3 linked regions of the Saccharomyces cerevisiae S288C genome follow. The gene in region 2 interacts genetically with the main gene of each other region. Each region holds a gene or a part of one and is shown on either strand. Other genes may lie near its edges. The genes, in order: IZH3, SOV1 and DFG16.

Region 1 (3,761 bases), on a different chromosome or scaffold from region 2:
ATATGAGTCAAAATTTTGATAATATTGATGGAGGAAAAACCCCGCAACCGCCTAACCTATGTATCTATGAAATGTTCAAAAGAAGGTTCCATCAACTACTACTGTTGCTTGCAAGAGATATGATGAGAGTAAACTTTTACAAAGACTGTCGAAATAAAATCAAAATATCATCAAACGGATCTGAGGAACCATCGACAAGCTTTTCATATCTATTCAATACTTTTAAAAAGTATGTTGATCTCTTTAAACCAGACGACGTTCGGTTTGATTTTACAAGTTTAGAGAAAATTAAAGACTTTATATGCTCTCTATTACTAGAGTCATTGTCCATTTTTTGTAGAAGAACCTTCTTATTATTCAACATTCAGTATGATGATGATGGTGATGGTGATAATAATAATAACCGCAGCAATAATTTCATGGACGTCAAACAGCGTGAAATAGAGCTTATTTTCCGGTATTTTAAATTACCCAATTTAACTCACTTTTTGAAGGATTTTTTCTACAACGAACTAACACAAAATATAGAAAGGTATAATGATGGTAATGATAATTTGAGAATTCAGCAAGTAATATATGACATGGTGCAGAACATAAACACAAGAGCATATCCTTCACCAGAGCATATCCAGCTTATCGAACTACCATTGAACCTTTCCAAATTTTCCCTTGATAATGATGAAATATCGAATAAATGTGATAAATACGAAATCGCAGTATGCTTGTTGTGTGGCCAAAAATGCCATATTCAAAAAAGCATAGCACTGCAAGGTTATTTACAGGGGGAATGTACTGATCATATGAGAAATGGATGCGAAATCACCTCCGCTTACGGAGTTTTCTTAATGACCGGCACAAATGCGATATATCTGTCATACGGCAAAAGAGGTACATTTTATGCTGCACCTTATCTAAGTAAATACGGAGAGACCAACGAAGACTACAAATTCGGTACTCCCGTCTATTTGAATCGGGCGAGATACGCGAATCTAGCGAATGAGATTGTTTTTGGCAACATGATTCCGCACATAGTGTTCCGACTAACGGACGGCAGTGCAGATCTTGGTGGGTGGGAGACTATGTAGTTATCCAACAAATGTCTAGTCATTCAAAATTGCTACGAAATTAGCGTATCCGAAAAATCAAAAGAAATTTTATCTGTTTTAATTGGCGTGGGGAAGTGGGGTAGGGTCGAGGATCATTACGCTTTCTCGTGGGAAGGGACAGGGACGGACCGAAAAAAAAAGAAATGCCGCAGAAAAAGAAATGTTTTAGTGTGGGGTATGGGCTGAAGCTCGTATAGTGCAGGGTGACTTCACTTTTCTTTTTACCCTGCAGGAAATGGAGAAAGTGTTGATGGATAAGGTATATAGTCATAAGGTGACACAGCGTGGGTGTACATCTAGAAAGCTTGGCGATTCGAGCGAAGTGGTGGTTTACTCGTTTTATAATAAGAGTTTTTGGACATTATTTTTTCTTTAGGACACAGTTGATTCAAATTCTACACTTGTTTTGTCGTCTGGTAAAGTTTAGCCATTGTAAAGTGGACAAAGAAGAAGCTGCAACGCAGATAAGCTGAAAAATAGTTCACATCCCAACAGACAATCAAATTAAGTACATGATGGACTCGTCAAGCAAAAGCTTAACTCAGTATATACCCTCACCCATGGGATCTCTATCAAGGCTAAAGCAGAAGGGTGTGGACAATTTTCAGAAGGTGAAAAAATCCGGTAAATCCATCTATAATTACAACTACTCAAAATTCGTTCCTCATCCATTTTCAACTATTGATGAAAGTGTTAAACACTCTGAAAGTGGGCGGTATGATGATTTGGAGATAATTCGTCCAACAAAAGAAAAGGAAGTAACAAGTTCTGTGTACAAAAGAAACAGTGGCAAGTCTCTGAATACAGAATCTCAGTTTTCACTGGGAGATTCAGATGCAGCCACTTTGGTGAATTCAGTCGCTACTTTCAAGCTTAACAATGCTTCTACATCCACTTCACTGGTGTCTTCATCTTCAACTGTATGTTCTCAAGCGAAGTCCTCGTTACGTTCCCCAACAAGTCGTCTCAATGATACAAAAATCAAAGAGGAAAACAATTATATTTCCAGCGTGAAAGACTATTGCGGTCCAATGAGAAAATCCATGGTAAAGACGGAAATCCTCATTGAAGAACCTTTGAATCCTACTACCGATATCAAGTCTTTTATAAACTCATACAACCATGGCAAAGCGTATAGTCTAGGTGAAACTCAACATTTACATTATTATCAGTTGCCATTCCCATGGAGGGAAAACAGATACATAATCCATGGCTATAGGTTTTACAATACCCATTCCAAATCTTTGTTGTCTATCTTTAACTGGTACGGCTGGCATAATGAAACTTCAAATATTTGGTCTCATTTGTTAGGAGCCATTTATATAATCTACTTGGCAATTTACGATTTCCCTCAGTCTGAAGTTTGGCGGAATTCCCAGGTTCCACCACAGGCTAGATGGATTGTTTTCATGTTTTTGGCAGCTGCGTTGAAATGTATGCTAAGCTCCGTGTTTTGGCATACTTTCAACGGAACGTCCTTCTTGAAGCTACGTTCTAAATTTGCGTGTGTCGACTATAGCGGTATTACGATCTTAATTACAGCTTCGATATTGACAACGGAGTTTGTTACCATGTATTCATGTTACTGGGCGATGTACACTTACATGAGTATTTCTCTGGCGCTGGGTGTATTTGGTGTGTTTATGAATTGGTCGCCTCGCTTTGATAGACCTGAAGCAAGGCCATTAAGAATTAGATTCTTCATTTTGCTGGCTACTATGGGTGTATTGTCGTTTTTACATTTGATATTTTTGACTGATCTTCATTATGCTGCAACGCTATTTAGCCCCGTCACATACAAATCTGTTGTTTGGTATTTGGTTGGTGTGGTATTTTACGGTTCGTTCATTCCTGAACGGTTCAGATCTGACGTTCAGGTTGATAAGACCATTCCAACAAACTACGAATTATCTACTGATTTAGAAATCATCACAAAGCAAAGGGAAATTCATTTTAGAGAGGTGCCAACAGCCCATTCCAAATGCAGTTCCTGTCCGTCTCATGCCAAATCATTTAAATCTCTATGGTGGGTTGACTATTTTGGTTGTTCGCACACTTTTTGGCATTTCTTCGTAGTGTTGGGTGTCATCGGCCATTATAGAGCTATTTTAGATATGTTTGCCAAGAGGTGGATTTTGTCATGATGGTATGACTGACTACCTTTACTTACAACATCCTGCACTTTTTCTGTATACGATAAACGGACTTAAAAGAAAGAAAAGCCTACAATTACATTGTTGGAGAAGCCACATAGCAATTTCGAAAAAAACCAGAAATTGTAAACCACGAATTCTCCTGTATTATTTCATTGTTAAAATTTTTTTTTTACTTATATTATACCCATCTTTTTCGATATTCCTGCTGGCATTGTTTTGGCTACATTTTCAAGAAACTTTGGATCCAAAGACAAAAGGAACAAACGAAATCTAAAAGCAAAAAAAAAGTTGACTGATTATAAAAACTACATTACGACGAAAAGAAAATAATAAAACTGTGTACTTTTAGTTTTGCATTTATGTATTGACTGTTATTTAACTTATTATGACCTCATGAAAGAACAAAACTTAGCGTGTATTGTTCTGCTCAGTGCCTTGTATATATAATAATGTTCATGAAAAAATTTTTCTAGGCCGAACTTAAGTGATTTCATGCAGT
Region 2 (3,761 bases):
AAATCAACAATCTGCTGCAAGGAAGATTGATATACACAGATAATTCCGTTGCGACAAATGTATTAGAATCCAAATTTCCATTCTTGAAATCAACATGTGTTAAAGACGCACTAAAATTATTTTTGCCACAATGTATTGCAAATGGACTTGAATCCATTGACGCTGAAACAAGGGTAGAAACGGCCATTAAACTTTCAATATGCGAGTTTCAGGCATCTGGCTTGGGCGAAATACCAGAAAATTGCATGGTTGACGACCTAGGATCAATGATGGATTGTATGTTTGAACTAGAATCATCTTCACAGTGGTGGACAACTTATAGTGGAAATTATCAGCGACTATCGAGTATTTGTTATGAAAATCTTCTTCCTTTTGAAAAAGAACAGATACTGAAACTTTTTCTAAATATCACTGAACTTTATGATTCATTTGGGGATGATGTCGATACTAAGTTAAATCATCTGATGTTTCAAATGGAGCAAGATTCTCAAAATTTTTTGGACGATCTGGCCAGGATGTTCCGCAACTATGACAATGAACTGCGAAATGCGACCGAAAGCAATCGAATAATCTTAGAAAACGACCTCTCATTTTTTAGAAATAAAGTGAATGATGTACTCTATGAAACTTCCGAACAACTAGAGGTCCAAATCATAGAGAAGAACAGTCAACTAATGAATGAAGTTGATACCGTCCATCATATTATGAGCGATCTAGCCGATGAGCTTGCTAAAAATGACATAAAATCTAAGATAAATGACTTGAAGGACGACAGCCTGAATAATTTACAGGACCTAGTGGAAATGTCCAACGACGTAAAAGAATATTACTCTAGAAATAACAAGTTAGTTAATACCGAGTTGGAAAACTTCTCGATGGGTTTAAAAAAACAGTTAGGAGGCATGTCAAAGGATCTTTCTGAATCACAAATGGAAGCTATAGAGCTCTTGCAAGGGTTCAATTCCATCCTTCATGATTCATTGTTACCATCCATGACGGATGAGATAGTACCTGAGATGACGAACTTCAAAAATACCTTACTACAAGAATGGACAGCTATAACATCTACACTAAATGGAGATTTTGCTTTATGGAATGAGGAGATTTTTTCAACTTTTAATGATATTTCAGAGAAACTGAATGGCACAAAAAAAAAATTAGACGACATTGAAATCAGAGTCTCACTTGTCCATAAAAATGTCATGACAATGATGAGGGTATTGGATTTTATGTGGAAAACTAGTAAAATGATTATAAGATGTGGGTACCTTGCAGTCAAGAATAAATACTACTGGTTACTGTGCTCCGTTGTGTGGATTTGGTCAAAATACCGTACGTCTCGAGTAAACGTCAAAATGATTCCTATTAAACGCTATTACCAATGGGCAGCTCTTCTACTTTCAATTTATCTAGGAGCTAAGACTGGCTCATTGATTGATTTTTAACATTACCGATGTAACAATATATGAAAGCCTATATATACATAGATGTATAGGTATATAGCCGCATTCAAAGTCTAGCAAAATAAATATTCTTTAAAAATTCAAGGACACCGGATCATGGTGGCCATAATACGGGCAAGTGAACCTAGAGAAGGTGTCCTACGTCACTATCCAAGTTAATTTGCTTAAGAGAGTTCGAGTGCAGCACCTACAGCTTTATCATTGAAGACGAAGCAAAAAGATCTTGAGATTCTATATCATGGGCACAGGTAGTATTCATTAGGTAGTAGTAACGTATTAAACAAGGCCATACTATATTTATAACTCATGTTCAAATACAACCGCTCACTCTGTAGCAGCGCTTTGATAGCAAAGTCTCAGATTCGTTTTTATAGATTGAAGCGGGCGCCATTGAATTATGCCTCCCATATACCTGAAGTTCTTAATAAGACCATCATAGGGCCAGACGAACCAGAAAAATGTCTCATTTTGAAAGGAAAAACATCAGAGGAAATCGAAAATAATCTTCTCAGTAATAAGAAATTTCAGGAGATCAATCCTCTTGATACTATCCAGGAAACGTTCATTCAATATCTGAAATTTTGTAATGAAACTAACTTTAAAAGAAGTAACAAGAATTTAAACAGATTAAAAAAAACCTTAGAAAGCAAGGACTCTAATAGCACCGTAAAAATTAATGCAGTTTTCAATTATTTGCTCGAAGAGTGTGATTTAGAAATCAAAAGATTGAACACGACCGGCCAAACCCAGGTATACAATGAAGAGAAAGGAAATGAAGATGACTTAGAGCAATCCATAATGAACGATATTTTCCGATCAGCACAAGAACAATTTGAAGATCAAGAGGGCCATATACCGTTAAGGAGTACATCATTTTTACTGGAGATTTTGAAAAGTTTTAATGAACGGTTTAATGGCATAATCAAACCGAAAGAGTCAATAACAGAAATGGTCACATTCAGCCAACTTGCTCAAGCTTTTGAAGTTGTTAAATTGATACCAGTGCAAGAAATGAAGGAGAAAGGGATTTACTTGGTCGGAAATTTACTTTATGGCACAGGGAAAGTTCGTTTAGATCCTATAAATGAGTCATTCTATATTGAATCCCTACTAGTTTTTGGAAACTATAAGGCTGCATACAGTTTATTTATTACCAATAAAGACAAAGTAAACGAGCGCTGGTGGAATGAACTAGGATTAATGATCACATTAAGGTCTAACCACTTGAGAAACTTCAGGAAACTTTTAGCCGAGACAGATGCAAAGTACTCAACAAAGTATTCTTATTTGAGCCCAAGAGTTACCAAATTGAGCATACGAAAATATTTGTCGATTGGCAATGTTACTGAAGCTAATATACTGACTGATCGATTTATTAAGTTAGTGGAAGAAGTTGGAATAATCAGAATGAAAGATGAGCAGGAGGAACTTCCCACGGGAGTTAAAAATTTTCAGAATGAGAAACATGCAACTGAGTTCTTAAATGAACTAGAAATACCATCGGATCATGATTATATCAGCATTGTTGATTTCCATCTTTATAAGAGAAATATTCCCATGGCGGCTCAACTTATCAGCAAGTACATGGAAATACCTGGAACGACACAAGAAGATGCCGCATTTCTACTTGTTAAAACCAAGCTAAATATGTTGAAAGATTTTGAAAAGCTACGAAACATTTTTGCTCAAAATAAAGATTATGTAGTGCCTGAGAATAATGTGAAAATGTTGCAAGAGGCATTTGAGAGCGTTATTACTAAGTATAACACTAATTCTCCAATATACAATGAATTGCTGTTTGAGAATGTTTCGGCCTTAACAAAAAGTATTGTATTAACTGATTTTCTGGAAGAGTTCATTACTAAACAGGCTTCTGGACAGTGGATGGAATTAAACAGTGTGTCACGTTCCAGAAAGTTTAATGGCTTGTTGAACATACTTCTCGGTACAGGTGAAGAAGAAAAAGCATATAATATCTTAAAAAAACTAGAAGAAGCCTCAAAGAAATCAAAAACAGATCCAGATTTACTCTATAATCAGTTTTATTCGGAAGTTAATGCATATCATTACGCTAAATTTGTTGAATTTTATAGTCTTCAAATTCAAAATATGAAGGCACAAAATACGCCCTCATTTAGAAAAAAGGAATTTAAGCAGAAAGTGAAGTCACTTTTAAAAAGAATGCAGGAGTCAGAGGTTATCCCAAATGCTGTTTTTTTGAGAGAAATACTCAATTTTTATGATAGCATGTATGACTTTAATTCAAGTTTTGAGATCATCAATCCGCTACTTGAATCC
Region 3 (3,761 bases), on a different chromosome or scaffold from region 2:
ATCGGTGAGGCAACTCCGGTTCCGATTTTTTTTTTTTCAGCGCCGTGGTATTTCCGCTCGGGAAATCCCCTCCCGCATTGCGTCAGAGCTTATCGATGTAAAGTTAATTTCCCTTTTTTTCGGTTGGGCTGGAGCACTTGGTTGCATTACTAACAAATTAACGAACAATAGTTTTAAAAGCAAGTGCCTTAAGATTTAGGTCATTCCTTCGAGGATTTCTGGGAACAATTTAAAGAATAACAGAAACTTTTGCGGCCCTTTTCATCATCTACGTGTTTTGTAAGAATGAGATCACATTCCACGTAGCCCTAAACATTGGCGTACATTTCCACTCGGAACCTTTTCTCGACCCCTCTCCGTACGCCAAGTTTTACCTTGAGGAGTAAGTCGTCAAAGGGGCGTGGGGCAGCCATTTCTTAGGAGGTGGGAAGACATGGCAGTGAGTGGGCCCTATGATTGCTGCTGCAGGGGACTTTTCAGGATAATCATGTAAACGATAAAACGGAAAAACAAAACTACGGACGTTGTTACCTTTCCATTTTGAAATGTTTCTCCGAAAAAATACCATTTTGCACAGTTCAACATTCTTGATGGCAAAAGCGAAGCATTGCGTCAACGGGTTAGATAAGTCATTTACTGTCAATTAGTACCAATACCTGTCTTTGCTCACCGAATGGCACTATACAGTGACGTTAAGATCTTGTAGTTGTTTTTCAAGAAGGCACTAAATAAGGTAATATATGGTGCCTTTCGCAATGACTCGTGTATCTGGCAGATCTATAGCTGCACACCTGATTTTTTTGCTATATTTGAATCAGGAGTAAGTTTGAACCATAATCATTCCAATTCAGTTTGATAGTACCTTTTTTTTAAAATTTTTGAAAGAGCTATCGCTTAGCTATCGGCGGGCATATTGAATTGCGCAGTAGATGAACATTTCACTAGTTGTGGCCAAAGAAGTTAGTTAAAAAGTGTAAATATGTCACAGTACTTATCCTTCTCTAAAGAATTAGTTTATTAAAAGCAGCAACAAGAAGAATGACTGTCAACCATTTTTAGGTCATTGCAACAAATCTCAAAATACGCTTTTATAGATAATCTAAGAAGATCGTTATATGGGAATACTAACAGTGAGAAAATGGAAGAAACGGGTTAGCGTAGAAAATTGTAATTAAAAAACAACAGTTTTAAGAAGGTGGTGGGCAATTAATACTTGAGGATTAATACTTAGAGCTTATTCAAAAAGAAAAGATAGAATTTCATGTAATACATGAGAACAATGTAAGGTTTTTAAGGTAACGAGTAACTAAGTTTTGAAATATCTTCACTAGCCTTGCAATCATCTTTTAGCTTTTCTATTTGCCGGATTCTTTACAACATAATCACGCTTTCTTCTAGTTGTAATTTTCCTTCTAGATGTCATTATTTCAACCGATGTCATTAATATCCTTTTATGGTGTTTACAAAAAGAAAGTTTCAAGTACCGCTCACCTACACTACGTTGTAATTCTTAGATACATAACTTTAGTTTTGTCGCCTATGTGCACAGATAAACAAAACAACCTATAAAATTTCCGTTGGGCCCTTTTGTCCCTGATTTCTGGTGTGTAACCCATTTATTTCTGTCCTGTAATAATTCGTCTTCGGTGATTGCCATATATACACAGTTTAGCTTTACTAACTATAAACATCCGAGAAGAAGAAAAAAGAAGGTCTGATTTCTATCAAACAACATGTGAAGATAACACAATCGATGTGATTGATATCAGATTTACTAGCCCCGTTGGATTGAAAAATCTGCAAGGAAGGGCTAAAGAGCAATATACTTTCTTTTGTTGTTTCGGGGTGATGAGAAAATTGTAACTTTTTTTTTTAACTTGGCGAGAAAATTGACTGGAAGAAGTGTCAAAGATAAGGCTTCTATCATATTCAAAACAAGTACCACCAAATGGCAGCTCAACTCCGAAGGCTCAAAAACAATACTTATTGATATTGCACTCACAAGCATTTTTTGTTGCGGAACGTCTTTACGTGCAAGATTAATGATCATAAGATTGCATTTTTACTACCTCCTCACTTTAGTTTACCATTTAGGACTTGTAGGTGCGTATGAAAAAGCAGCAAGAAAGAGAATTCAACCTCCCGATTTGATACCTGGTCCTCCGGGACATAAACTTGGTGATGAAAGACCACCGCATTACGACCACCGGCCACCTTATAAAAAACACATCGACAACATTCCAGCTTACAATCTGACTGATTTGATAGATGATAAACTACTAAATAAATATGAAAACTCATGCACGGTAAATGTATTGACAGGTGGCTTCATCTCTCTAGCAAGTAATTCGTGGCACTTACGTGCTTATAATTACACTTTAAATTACCCATCCTTTTTGATCCGATGCGATAATGGCAGTGCAAATCCTAATTTCTCTCATGTCTTACAAGACTTTGTTTATGACATCAACAACAAATTCAACGTTCAAGATGACAGTAGTAAATACATCGGAAAAGACCCATTTCCCTTAGGAATGATAATGATCACCTTTGCTTCTGGGTGTATCTGTGTGGCAACATGGATGCTATTTTTGGTTGTCTTATTACTGCCATCCGATAATCATAATAGAAGAAATAAAGTTGTACATGTTTACGTCCTTTTCTCTGCGATTATAAGAACTGTATTTCTAAACGAGACTATAGCCGTCATATTTGACAGCCAATATCACGATGACTACCAGGATGCGAGCCAATTTGAATCGTTCATCGTAGAAACTGCACCATATAAAATATGTGAATTAGTTGCAAATATTTTGAGTGATATAAACTGGATTTATATTGTTCACTACTTACAGTCCAATTATGGAAAACCAACTTGGAATTGGATCCCATTTAAAATGAAAAAGGGGACACATATCATAATTACCGTGGGTTGCTTCCTCTCACTAGCCGATAACATTTTATTCGCAAACCTTCTTTGGAGAAAGAACCTTGTAGTTTTGAAGGTATTTTACAAGCTAATCGAATTACTGATTTACACAATTTTCATCTCCATTATTTGTTACTTCACATGGCATAATTTTGCTTACATACTTTTACCGAAAACTGCTGAAATTAATACGGACGGTAAGTGTAAAACGAAATTGAGAATTCTTTGGGAAAATTATCACGAAACTATACCATTATTGGCGTATAATATTCTTATATTTATTTTATTCTATTTCACCACAATTTTTTTCGCTGCTTTCACCAAACATGTTAGAGGTTGGACATTTAACTTTGTTCATCTTTTGAAAGTTTTAATAACAGTGAACGTTTGGGGCTTAATTGGAGTATTGGAAAAGAGGGAGCTGCACATAAGCAAAAAAACAGTCCTTGGACGAAAAATTAACAATAGGGACAAATTTTTCGCCAATCCAACAGTCAATTATTACGGAGAAGATTTAGGCAAGCATTTAAGCGCCATAACGTTAAACAGGGATTTAAACACTACTAAAAGTAACACTACTTCCCACGATTCATCAAGTTTAGTAGGATCCCCTTCACCCACCTGGAAATCTCCAATCGAAAGAATAAGGGACAGAAGAAGAAGACATAAGATAATGAAAAGTGAGAATAAATTTGGGCAAAATCCCAGTTTTGGAAGTAAATCGAATGGCAAACCTAATACTAAAACGACATTATCCAAATATCGACAGCTATTAAGGAAGCCTAGGCGAAAAACCAATTCATATGAACCAAAAAATGGCATTGGACAGAAT

The links.
Region 1: mutations in SOV1 (region 2) and IZH3 impair growth when combined (synthetic growth defect), as found in Saccharomyces cerevisiae (one study listed by BioGRID).
Region 3: mutations in SOV1 (region 2) and DFG16 impair growth when combined (synthetic growth defect), as found in Saccharomyces cerevisiae (one study listed by BioGRID).

What each region holds. Positions count from the first base shown.
Region 1 is NC_001144.5:184,987-188,747, reverse strand, and holds IZH3 (Izh3p), read left to right. Parts: upstream 1-1,618; coding exon 1,619-3,250; downstream 3,251-3,761. Other genes in the region: putative ubiquitin-protein ligase UBR2, read left to right, coding at 1-1,085. UniProt on the Saccharomyces cerevisiae protein: ADIPOR-like receptor involved in zinc metabolism either by altering membrane sterol content or by directly altering cellular zinc levels.
Region 2 is NC_001145.3:399,772-403,532, forward strand, and holds the start of SOV1 (Sov1p), read left to right. Parts: upstream 1-1,769; coding exon 1,770-3,761. Other genes in the region: KAR5 (Kar5p), read left to right, coding at 1-1,445.
Region 3 is NC_001147.6:384,783-388,543, forward strand, and holds the start of DFG16 (Dfg16p), read left to right. Parts: upstream 1-2,042; coding exon 2,043-3,761. Other genes in the region: YOR029W (uncharacterized protein), read left to right, coding at 1-153. UniProt on the Saccharomyces cerevisiae protein: Involved in invasion during filamentous growth.